3 linked regions of the Canis lupus familiaris genome follow. The protein of the gene in region 3 interacts with the protein of the main gene of each other region in a pairwise test. Links are inferred from orthologs where the notes say so. Each region holds a gene or a part of one and is shown on either strand. Other genes may lie near its edges. The genes, in order: ABHD17A, MELTF and HPGDS.

Evidence for each region.
Region 1: the proteins of HPGDS (region 3) and ABHD17A interact in binary tests that used the Homo sapiens proteins (3 or more experiments, as listed by UniProt). The two-hybrid records come from large-scale screens. The link is inferred for Canis lupus familiaris from reciprocal best matches to the Homo sapiens genes HPGDS and ABHD17A.
Region 2: the proteins of HPGDS (region 3) and MELTF interact in binary tests that used the Homo sapiens proteins (3 or more experiments, as listed by UniProt). The two-hybrid records come from large-scale screens. The link is inferred for Canis lupus familiaris from reciprocal best matches to the Homo sapiens genes HPGDS and MELTF.

Annotation. Positions count from the first base shown.
Region 1 is NC_049241.1:57,556,408-57,559,621, reverse strand, and holds part of ABHD17A (alpha/beta hydrolase domain-containing protein 17A), read right to left. Parts: intron 2,792-3,214; 5' UTR 2,587-2,791; coding exon 2,255-2,586; intron 1,019-2,254; coding exon 824-1,018; intron 1-823. UniProt on the Homo sapiens protein: Hydrolyzes fatty acids from S-acylated cysteine residues in proteins. Has depalmitoylating activity towards NRAS. Has depalmitoylating activity towards DLG4/PSD95. May have depalmitoylating activity towards MAP6.
Region 2 is NC_049254.1:30,703,794-30,707,870, forward strand, and holds the start of MELTF (melanotransferrin), read right to left. Parts: upstream 2,902-4,077; 5' UTR 2,867-2,901; coding exon 2,818-2,866; intron 2,094-2,817; coding exon 1,939-2,093; exon of another isoform or gene 1,934-1,938; intron 846-1,933; coding exon 746-845; intron 1-745. UniProt on the Homo sapiens protein: Involved in iron cellular uptake. Seems to be internalized and then recycled back to the cell membrane. Binds a single atom of iron per subunit. Could also bind zinc.
Region 3 is NC_049253.1:22,728,627-22,732,883, forward strand, and holds the start of HPGDS (hematopoietic prostaglandin D synthase), read left to right. Parts: upstream 1-1,425; 5' UTR 1,426-1,754; intron 1,755-4,257. UniProt on the Homo sapiens protein: Bifunctional enzyme which catalyzes both the conversion of PGH2 to PGD2, a prostaglandin involved in smooth muscle contraction/relaxation and a potent inhibitor of platelet aggregation, and the conjugation of glutathione with a wide range of aryl halides and organic isothiocyanates.

The sequences.
Region 1 (3,214 bases), on a different chromosome or scaffold from region 3:
CACTCCTGGGGCCTGCAGCAGGGACTGCCTGGTGCATCACTTGGGCAACCAGGGTCCCCACATCCCCAGGGGAAGCTGACTTTGGTCCCTATAGGCACGGGTGGGGCAGGTCAGCCAGGCAGGGCTGAGATGGGGCAGCCCCAAGGAGGCAGTGGGCAGGGCCCCACTACTTCCAGGAGGGTCAGAGTCAGGGTGGCCTCCTTCCAAAGGATTCTCTGGGCTCAGACGCCAAGTTAGTACGCTTCAGTGAATAAGCAATAAGGTGGGGAGGGGGCTGCCCAGGAACTGGATGAGGAGCATGATGGGGGCTCCAGGGAGGGAGGTGGGCCCAGACCCTGGTGGCCCTAAGGCAAGCACACAGGTATGTCCTGGGGACCCTAACCCAAAGAGGACCTAGCCTCTGCTCCTAGCCTCCCACTGGCCCCAAGGCTGTGCTAGACACCAAGCTTCCTGACAGAGCCCTCTAGAACCTTCCAGAATCCTCCAGGGCCCAAAGGAGCCCTACCTCAAGAGGAGACCACAGTGAGTGGCTACTCATGCCTCGCAGGCCAGCTCTGAGACTATGACAAAGCAGCCCCACTCTACCGTGCACACCAAATGCTCCCTCGCTGCCGAGACTCTCAGAGTCTTTTTACACAGTCCGCATCCTCCAACCACCCACCTCCAGACAGAACCTCTACTCCCCTAGGGACAGCCCCGGCCCATCCACAGCCCTGCCAGGCAAGGGGTTCCCAGGAGGGGAGAGGTGCCTGCCCCACCCAGACGTAGCCTAGGCTTCCCCCTTGCCCCCTTGCCTTCACCCCCACCCCAACATAAAGCCCACCTGGTACGCAGCGCCTGCCAGGCAGCATCGATGTCAGCATAGAGGTTCTTCTCAGAGGGCTTGCCAGAGCTGACGCCGTAGCCAGAGTAGTCGTAGGAGAAGATGTTGCAGTTGATGCGCGTGCCCAGGCCAATGTAGAAGCTGCTCATCTGGCCCAGGTCCACCGCGTTGCCGTGGGAGAAGAGAACCGTGTACCTGGGGCAGGGACGGAGGGAGGACAGGTCAGAAAGCATGGGGATAGGACACCCCCTGGGCCCCCAACCACCACAGACAAGAATATTAATGAGGGAGACTCCCTCCTGGCTGTGAGGTCTTGGGCAGGGGACAGCAGCAGAACCTTAGATGTCCCCTCTGTGAGAGGAAGGGAACCCTGGGACCACTGGGCAGGGTCTCAGCGCAGGGTGGACCCACAGTGTGAGCTCAGCAAGCTCAGTGACCGCCACGTTCGTTCCCTCTGGGCCATGGCTGTCCTCTGGAATCACTCCTTTTAGAGGGACTCTGAGAGCTCAAGGATGGCACACACGTATGCCTGCTGCTTGGAACCTTCCAGAGAATGAGACAGCGGCTTCTCCTCTTGATAGCCAGCACCCACCCTTACCCCACAATAAGACCAATCCCTGTTCGCAGCGTCTCTTCCCACTCCTACAGACCCCAACCCTGGCACTCGTTTCTGCCCTGCAAGGCTGCTGGCAGATCAGGACCCGCCCCAGGTCACACCGACAGGCTGGATCCTGGCCAATGGACTCCAAGTGGCTTCTTCCTCCAGCACCCCTGGGCCCCAGCCTCGCTAAAAGGCAAAAACTTGCCCTTTGTACTCAGATGTGGAGTCAGAACCCTGTCTGGTCTAAAGGCAGAAACACCTAGAAGGCCCCACCTCTTTCCTGCTCTGGTGCTTAAGGGAGAGCCCCAAGGACACCCTGTTAATGAGGAGTCAGACTTGGCCCGAGCCACCTGCCAGGCCTCGGGTGCCCTGGTCCCAAAGCGAATGGCGAGGCCTCACTGAGCACCCAGCACCCAGAAGCCCTTCCCAGGGCAGGTGAGTGCGGAGACCCTGAAGCGGGCCGCACCTCAGCAGGCAGGGGTGACGGCCACTGCGATCGGCCTCCCTGAGCCTTGGCACTCATCCGTGTGACGGGGCTGCGTCTGGAAGGGCACCGGCATGAGGGGCCTGGGGCGGTCCCACGGGGCCATGGGTGGAGTGGGGCCTGCTCTTGGAGAATCTCATCAGCCACCCTCTTTGGCAAGAACCCCCAGGGTGCCTGCGCCGCCAGATGGGCCTTCACCCGGGCCCTGGCCATCTGGGAGCTGCCTCTGGCAGGAAACGAAAGGCCCGAGCATGGAGCATGTCCCGTACCGGGCACCCCCCACCCTGACTAGGTCCATCTACCCCTCCACGCGCGTCTGGGTCCTGCCCCGGTTCCGTGGGCTCACCTGGCGCCGGGCACACAGCGCACGTACATGCAGGAGATGCGGTTGCCCCGGCTGCTCTTGGTCAGGAAGACCTCGATGGTGTCCAGCTCACGCTGGCTGTACTGGAAATCAGCACGCTCCATCAGGTGCAGCTTCCAGCGCCCGGGGGTGCCAGCAGAGGCCCGCAGGGTCCCCGAAGGGGCAGCCCCAGCTCCACCAGGCCCCGGCTCGGGCTCCGGCACCAGCGAGTAGGTAGGCTCCGGCGGCAGGAAGGCGAGCTTGGCAGCAATGCGGCCGGGGCAGGGTGGGCAGCAGAAAAGGCAGCAGAGCTCGCTCACTGACAGGCCGTTCATGGCGGGCGCCAGGCCCCAGGGTGGGCCTCGCTTGGCAGGGGAGGGGTGGGGGTGCTCTGAGACGCGGGCAGGGGGGAGGGCAACCCCCAGCCACCGCCCCAGACAGGAGCCCCCTTAGGAGGCCGCAGCCCAGCCCCATCGTGGTCCAAGCCGAGCCCTCGGGAGCCTCGCAGCCTTGCATCTCCACGTCGTGCAGAGGGAAACCCTGCAGGGGAAGAGCGAGAGGTGGGGTTCCCTCGGGTTCCACGGGGAGGTCTCTTGGCCCTCCTCACGGCCCAGTCCACTCTTGCCCGAACTGCTCCCCCTCCACCCCATGGACCTGTGGGCCCAGTTCGTCATCCACAGGATGGGTCCCTCTGTGGGTGGACCCAAAGCTACCAGACCAGCACCTGCTGCACCCTCCCTCGGCGTGCGGTCACCAACTCTTGCCACGTCTGCCACCTGTCAGCCCAGCCTCGGCCTGCAGGCTGTGCTGGGCGATGAGACCCCTGGCTCACCCCAGCAATCCCCCACACAGCCCCCTGCTCTGTGCCCACACATACCCTGTCACCCTCCCCAGGCCCCTGTCCACACGGCTGGCCCAGACTCTCCCCCCAGCCCATCTCCATGCCATCTGTCTAGGATTCAT
Region 2 (4,077 bases), on a different chromosome or scaffold from region 3:
GTGAGGCAGGGTGTGCTTTGGCCTTTGAGTGCAGGCGCTAGGCTGTGTCCTGAGCCATCTGAGTCACCCATTCACCAAGGGGCCAAGTGAGCGCCTGCGCGGGATACCAGGGACCTAGGGGTGTCAAAGATGAGGACCAGGCCCTCCTCGAGGGGCCCACTGTGCCAGGGACAGAGAAAACAGGACAGAAGATGGGATCCTGATAGAGTGGGTCAGAGCTCCGGGAAAACAGGAAAGAGAAGCTCTTTCGGGCCAGGGGAGGGGTCAGGGGTCACCCTTAGAGGTGACAGCGAGCCGGGCCGTGACCGGGGCTAGCCCTTGGACACGTGCAGGTCCTGGGTGAGCTTCCCAGGGGGCAGCCGGGTTAGAGCATGTGGGGGTGTGAGGCGCAGGGACTGGGGCAAAGGAACTCCCAGTCCTATGCACATACCATGCATCAGGTGCGCACCTGCTGATTCATTTAGTCTGTGGGACAGGACTGAGGCCGCTCTCCCCACTTTACAAGTTATGGGGTGATGGGATTCCCGCAAGGAAGAACGGACTCGAGTCAGCTCTCTGTGTCTCTGGCACCCCTGCTCTGAGCGGGGGGGGCTTGTGTAGGTCAGTCTGGCCTGGACCCCAGGACTGCTATGGGGACAGGGCTACCGACCGGCTTGAGGGCTGCAGGCTGTGCGGGGCCCAGCAGGGACACGCTGCGGGGACAGCCTCTTCGCCTCCCGCCCCCCAGGCCGCTTCGCCTGCTGACCTTGGTCGTACACTTCGCCCACCACGGGCTTCAGTCCGTGCTCCTTCCCGGCCTCGTAGATGGCTCCTCCGTCCAGGGTGATGGCGTCAGCCTCCTGGGCCTGCCGGGGACACGTGGTCAGGCCAGCCCGGCCGCCTGGGCCTCGCGACCAGCTGCTCGGGCCATCCGCTGGCCTGCCGGGACGTCCCTCCTGGTCCTCTGGCCCGGTCCCCTGCCCTGGCTCAGCCTGCACCCCGAGAGTAGGGGGCTCACCCTTTACCAGGTCCCAGGTGACAGCTCTCCTAGGTCAAGGCTTGCCTTGGCTTCCTAATTATGTCATTTAAAAATTATTAATTTTCTAGGGCTTCTAATGGCTTTACACACTAAGGATAAATGAATGAATAAATCAGATGGTACAAAATGGTGCATAGCGAGATGGTGAATCTCCCTCGTTTCCCTGTTTCTGAGCCCCGACTCCGCTGTTAACCCGTTTCTCAGGTTTCCTAGGACGCAGACCGAGGCCCACGGATGCCCTCCTCATTTTTTTTTTTCTCCTAAAACACAAATGGCAGGATGCTGTCAGCGTCCTGGGGTCGCCATGGCGTCTAGCTCGGGGGACCTGGCAGTGGAGCCTCACGCAAGCCCGTGGCCCGCGTGGGACCTGCACTAGGTCTGCAGAGAAGTCAGGGCCCAGTACAAGGGGACCCAGGCCCCCCGGCCGTGCCTGCCCGGAGTCGGGCCTTGAGGGCCAAGCTCGCAGGGGCGGTGCCAGCTGGGCCAGGTCGCCTGCCTGCCCCTGGCACTCCGCTCCCTGCCCCTGGCACCCCGCTCCCTGCACCCCGCACCCCGCTCCCTGCCCCTGGCACCCCGCTCCCTGCACCCCGCACCCCGCTCCCTGCACCCTGCACCCCGCTCCCTGCGCCCGGGGCTGCCACCAGCCCTCTCCTGGGAAACTGCACGAGCCCTCCTGGCGCCCCCGGGGCCCCTCCGGGGTGGGTGTGCGGCCGGTGCCAGCGTCCCCACTGTCGCAGGGGCCTCTCCTGGAGGGAGGACTGTGCCCGGGCCCCACCTGGGCGGGACCGGCTGGCCAGGAAGCCCTGGCCCCGTTGCCTGGAGACTCGGGCCACCCGGAGCCTCGCCGTGAATGGAGCCCTTGTGGTGCCCCGTCGGACCCCTCCCCCCCCCCCCCCCGGCCCAGCGGGTGGGGCGCTCACCGCGAGGAGCCGGATGCAGTGGTCGGCGGAAGGGGCCTGCACACACCCGACGGGCGGCTGGATCCCTGCGGCTCCGAAGGCCTTGCTCAGGTCGCCGCACTTGCGCTGCTCGGGGTCTGAGGTGGTGCACCAGCGCACCTGCGCCCCGCTGAGGGCTGGGGGACGGCGGGGGGGTCCAGCTGCCCTAACCTGCGCCCCGCTGAGGGCTGGGGGGACGGGGGGGGGGTCCAGCTGCCCTAACCTGCGCCCCGCTGAGGGCTGGGGGACGGCGGGGGGGGGGGGGGGGGTCCAGCTGCCCTAACCTGCGCCCCGCTGAGGGCTGGGGGACGGGGGGGGGGTCCAGCTGCCCTAACCTGCGCACCTGCGCCCCGCTGAGGGCTGGGGGACGGGGGGGGGGGGGGGGTTGCCCACTGCCCCAGCACCGCGGCCTCCCGGGTCACCCGCGGACGTGCACAGCGAGTCCGCGACCAGCCCTGCCCCTCCCCTGGGAGGTCCGCGGCCACAGGGGCGTCCCAGACCCGGGGGGGGCCGAGGGGCCGGGGGTCGGGGCCGCGCTCAGCCCAGCCCTGCTCTCTGGCCCGGGGGCACCGGCGACGGCGCGTGGGCTCCGGCCCTTCCCGCCCCTCTTGGCGCCTCTCGCCCAGGTCCCGGCTCCCTCGGGGACGCACGGCGAGGGCCCAGGAGACCGCCCTGGGGCGCCCGTCCCTCGGGGCTCCGCGGCCGCTCCCGGGCCCGCCCGCCCCGCCCCGCCTCCGCCGCTCGAAGGCGCAGGCCGCCCCCTCCGGGAAGCCCTCCAGACGCCCCCTGGGCTCCCCCAGCGCCCCCGGCTGCGCTCGGCCCCGCCCCCGCCCCTGCCCCTGCCCCGCGGCCCGGCCTCACCTGTGCGCAGCGCCAGGAGGACCCACAGGGCCCCGCTCGGGCCCCGCATGACGCCGTCGGGCTCCGCGGCCCCGCAGCCAGGCCCCCGCCCCCGCCCCGCCGCTTAAGTGCGCGCCCAGCCCCGCCCCGCCCCGCCCCGCCCCCGGGACTGGCCCCCGCCCCGCCGGCCCTGCCGTCCCCGTCCCCGTCCCCGTCCCGCCACCGGGGCTGCCCGGGTCCTGGCCCGCTGCGCCCCCTGCCGGCCGTGCCCCAGGCCGCACCCCAGGCTGACCCGGTCCCCCCCGCCCGCCGCACCGGGGCTGACCCGCGTCGTCGAGGACCCAGGAAGCTGGAGGCCGGGAGCCCGTGTGCGCGTCCCGGGGCTGCCCCGCCCCGCGGGGAGGGGGTCGAGCGGGGTCTCCGGCTGGGGACGCGGTGGCCTGGCCCGGCCCGGGGGAGCAAGCCTCCTGGGCGCCCCCACCCTGAGCGCCCCCGGCCTTCCCACGATCCGTCCAGGAGGACACACGCCGGGAGTCCAGGCAGCGGCTCGGCCACGCGGCCCCTCCCTATGCCTGGGCCCCGCCGTGACCCACCGGTGAGACCCCCCGCCCCGCTCTGCCGGGCCCTCAGCCGGGAGGGGCTGCCCATGACACACGCACCCGGGTCCTCGGCGAGACGGGGAACCCTGGCCTTGGGGCCTTGGGCCTGGGGCCTGCCACTTCGGGGGTCGGAGGAACGGTCGGGAGGCAATCGGAGCATCCGGGGCCGGTCACTCAACCCGGAAAGAGCTTCATATAGATAAATGGGCTTCATTATTCATGAGAGACCCAGGCAGGGGGAGAAGCAGGCTCCCTGCAGGGAGCCCGACGTGGGCCTCGATCCCACGACCCCGGGGTCACGCCCTGGGCCGAAGGCAGACGCTCAGCCGCTGGGCCACTCGGGGGCCCTGGAAAGAGCTTTTTTATTTTTTTAAAGATTTTATTTATTTATTCATGAGAGACACACAGAGAGAGACACAGGCAGAGACACAGGCAGAGGGAGAAGCAGGCTCCATGCAAGGAGCCTGTTGTGGGACTCGATCCCGGGTCTCCAGGATCGCATCCTGGGCTGCAGGTGGCGCTAAACCCCTGCGCCACCGGGGCTGCCCCTGGAAAGAGCTTTATAGAGGAGAAGGGCTGCAGGATAGTCTGGTCCCTTTCTGGACTCCCACTGAGGAGAGGGAGAGTGCCCCCGAGCTTCCTTCTAGAAACAAGAACTAGTTTCACGGAGACTCCTAGAAGG
Region 3 (4,257 bases):
TTATTTACGATAGTCACACACACAGAGAGAGAGAGGCAGAGACACAGGCAGAGGGAGAAGCAGGCTCCATGCACCGGGAGCCCAACGTGGGATTCGATCCCGGGTCTCCAGGATCGTGCCCTGGGCCAAAAGCTAAACCGCTGCGCCACCCAGGGATCCCCCCGCAAAAGATTTTTTTAAATGTAAGTTAAAACTCAGTGAAAGATAATAAATACAATATGCTAATTTTGTATAGTTCCTTTTTTTTTTTTTTTGCACTTAATTTTGACTTACATACTTTTTTCTTTTTTTTTTTTTTTTTGGTGACTAAGGAGCTGTATTTGTAGCCTAATTAAACTTTTCACAGACCAAAAAAATATTTATATAGTTTTTCATTTCTTATGCTTACAATCAATGGACATAAACATATTTTTGAAAGTTTAAAGCAGTTATAAATGGGAACTATTACATGATTGATAGGTTTCTATAACTGTTTGTGAGTGTAATTATCTGGAAGTTGAAAGCCAGCCTGTCATTAAAATGTTTTAGTGATCTGTAGGTCCAGTAATGCACAAGCAGGTATTTCGCTGGATCGTTTCACTGAACTGTCCCAATATTATAGCTGGAATTAATTGGAGTGAAAAAAAATAAATTTCTAAAACAATTAGGCATTTGTTACTAATCTATGTAAGAATTATCAACAAGGGATGTTAGAACCTTCCACTCCAGGTTTACTTTATTTTTTTTAATTTATTTTAAATTTAATTATTTTTTTAATTTAATTTTTTAATTTATTCATTTGATAGAGAACGCGTGTGCACACAAGCAGGGAGGGGGCAGAGGGAGAAGAAGAAGCAGACTCCTCACTGAGCACAGTGCCTGAGGCACAGTGCCTGATGCCTTCAGCTCAGGATCCCGGACCCTGGGATCACGACCTGAGCCAAAGGTAGACGCTTCACTGACTGAGCCACCCAGGCAACCCTCTTCCCAGGTTTACTTTCAACAGTATGGCTCTTCTGAGAAAAAGAAGGTAAGTGAAATATTCTAGCAGTAATGAGAACTTAAGAAGTCCTCGTAAAAATGTGATTTGTGGGGAAATATAAATTGAGATCATTCATTCAGCAAAAATACTATTAGCGCTTATGGTGTACCTGGCATTCCTTTCCATAATGAGGGCACCAGGGTAAACTGAATAATGAAGTACCTGCCCGGACAGAGCTCACCTTCTGCTGGGGGAGGGTGAAAACCAACCAAGAATATACACTATGCTGTCAGACACGATAATGAAGAAACACACAGCAGGTGAAGGAGATTGGAGGAGGGTTCCAGTGAGAACATGGTCAGCCAAACATTCTCCAAGGAGACCTAATGAATTGAGGAAGCCAGCCACGTGCATATCTGAAAACAAGGCTTGTTTGTGTTCACTCTCTTTCATTCCCCAGGAGCCTATGGTGTAAGGTTTTAAACAGAAATGAGCACGTAGCAATAGGCACACATCAGCACCTGTAACTTTGATTTTACTAACTGAATGCAAATAGGTTAGGTTATTTACACACAGAGATCCTATAAAATGCCAAGAATAACCAGAAGTCTCTGCAGGATTGGACTGTTTGGCAGGCATATTTCATCTAAGAAATGAAGAAAGAGACTTAGGTGGAAGTAAGTCACTTCATCTCTCATTGGCTTGTGGCGGTCACTTACTCATCATATAAACCCAAGATGTAGTCACTTCTGAGAGCACAGAAGATACTAGAGACTCCACGGAGACAGCACAAGTAAGTGAAAAGACTTTACAAAGATAAGAAATGAGATAGTGTTCTTTCTTCATCTTAGTGTTTATTTTTATTACTGTCATATTTTACATGTGACTGAGCAACTGATGACATAATTTCACCATGCCACTCATTCGGGTCTCATTCAGAGCCTCTTTGTTAGTGGCCAAGTAGAAATCATACAATAGTCTTTCTTTCTTTCTTTCTTTCTTTCTTTCTTTCTTTCTTTCTTTCTTTCTTTCTTTCTTTCTTTCTTTCTTTCTTTCTTTCTTTTCTTTCTTCTTTCTTTCTTTCTCTTTCTTTCTTTCTTTCTTTCTTTCTTTCTTTCTTTCTTTTTTTTTCTTTCTTTCTTCCTTCCTTCCTTCCTTCCTTCCTTCCTTCCTTCCTTCCTTCCTTCCTTTCCTCTTTCTTTTATTTCTCTTTTTCTGCTAAGGAATTTTCTTTCTAATATTTTCTACCACTTTAAGGCTCATTTTGTTGAAGCGTCTCCATGTTTTGCCAAGAATTGTATTCTATCATCATTTGGTTTCAAAGGTAATTGGAGGCATTTACCACAGGCTAAGAATCTGAGCTCACAGCTCCCAAAGGATATTTCTGTTATTCCTCTTTGAGGCAAGCATTTAAAATGATATTTAGTTGGTTTTTGATGGGAAAAGAGAGATCCTGGCTTGCCAATGTAAAATGAAACATTCAGGGTTTGACTGAAATCAGTATTTTACTCAGGTAACAAAAATGCTTATGTTTCTTTATTGTCCACAACTTACTCCAACCTGGCAACTTTTCCAGAACCAAACTAGACATGCTCAGGGACCCTGTGAAGGAGGGAAATCAACATTCTTTACCACCAACTGTTAGCGAGTAATGCAATGCTGTCATTTAATGTCATAATGTCATAACAACTTCTTATGTAGACAACAGCATCTTGTGTGATTGCTCTTTAAATCCAATTTTTACATTTCAAAACACTACAGTCTATATAATGGGAGTACAAACATTGTACTCTGCTGGTACATCTTGTATAGTTTAAATACTGGTCAAGTTGAGATATAGCAAAGTGCTATCAGCAAATTCACAAGTAATCTTTGTTTTTATACTTCAAACCCACAGGTTATTGTATTACTACTAGGCATATATAAAACTGTATCTGAAATTCTCGAGTATGTTTGATGCTCCTTTAATTTAAGAGTAAGGGCTCACATAGATGAACATTTTTAGGAGTAAAATAAAGATAGTGTTAGGGTTTTTAAGCAAATTGTAAAATGGTTAATATTTAATTCCTTATTTGAACATTTTCTATCCATCAAAATTACTCCCAAAATGCAATTCCTTTTTCAGTTATCTGTTGAAATTTTGAAGGTGTATAACATAGTAAATGAATATTAGCCTCCTTTGCCAGAATTGAGTTTGGATGGTTAGCTCCTTTCTGGCATAGACACTAGCATTTTTGATATTATGTTTTACTGTGCTCTTACAGCAACATACAGATTAGAATATTAGCTCAGCTAAGACGAAATGGTTTTATTATAGCTTTTTTTTTTTTATCAATGACTGTATTAAAATTGCCTCTGGGATTGAATGCTCCTGTGTTTTGTGGTTGTTAATCAGTTGAGAAGTACCAGGGTTACATAAAATAAAAAGAGCTGCAAGTCAGGAGAAAGGAGGCCTCCAAGACAGAACTTTTCAAACCTATTATTTCCCGTGTAAAAGACTTACTTTATTTTTAAGATTTTACTTATTTATTCATGAGAGGCACACAGCGAGAGGTAGAGACATAAGCAGAGGGAGAAGCAGGCTCCCTGTGGGGAGCTTGAAGAGGGACTCGATCCCAGGACCCTGAGATCACAACCTGAACCAAAGGCAGATGCTCAACCACTGAGCCACCCAGGCATTCCGAAAGATTTACTTTCTAAATAAGGTTAGCATATAGTAAAAGCTAAATCATCTTTTGTATTTAACGGCTCCATCCGAGTTCAGAGATGAAAGTGTCTATCCAGGGGTTTTATGAATCCTCATTTGTATGTTCTTTGGGAAACTGTGTATCTTATTTTTCAAACACAATTCTCAGTGGGTTTTTTTATTTAGCTGGTGAATCAGGAACCTTATTTTTTTTAAAAGATTTTTAATTTATTTGAGAGAGACAGAGAGAGAGAGAGAGAGAGAGAGAGTGCATGATGAGGAGGGAGGGGCAGAGGGAGAAGGAGAAAGGAAGCAGGAAGCAGGAAGGAGCAGGCCCTGGGGTTTGATCCCATAATCCTGAAATCATGACCTGAGCCAAAGGCAGATGCTTTTTTTTTTTTTTTTTTTTAAGATTTTATTTATTTTTTTGAGAGAAAGAGAGAGAGTACATACATGAGAGACTCTCCGCTGAGCAGGGGGTGGAAGTGAATCCCAGGACCCTGCCAAAATGACCGGAGCTGAAAGTAGATGTTTAACCGACTGAGCCACCCTGGTGCCCTTTGAATGAGAAACTTTAAATGACTTTCTTCAGAGTGGAAGGAAGCCAGTC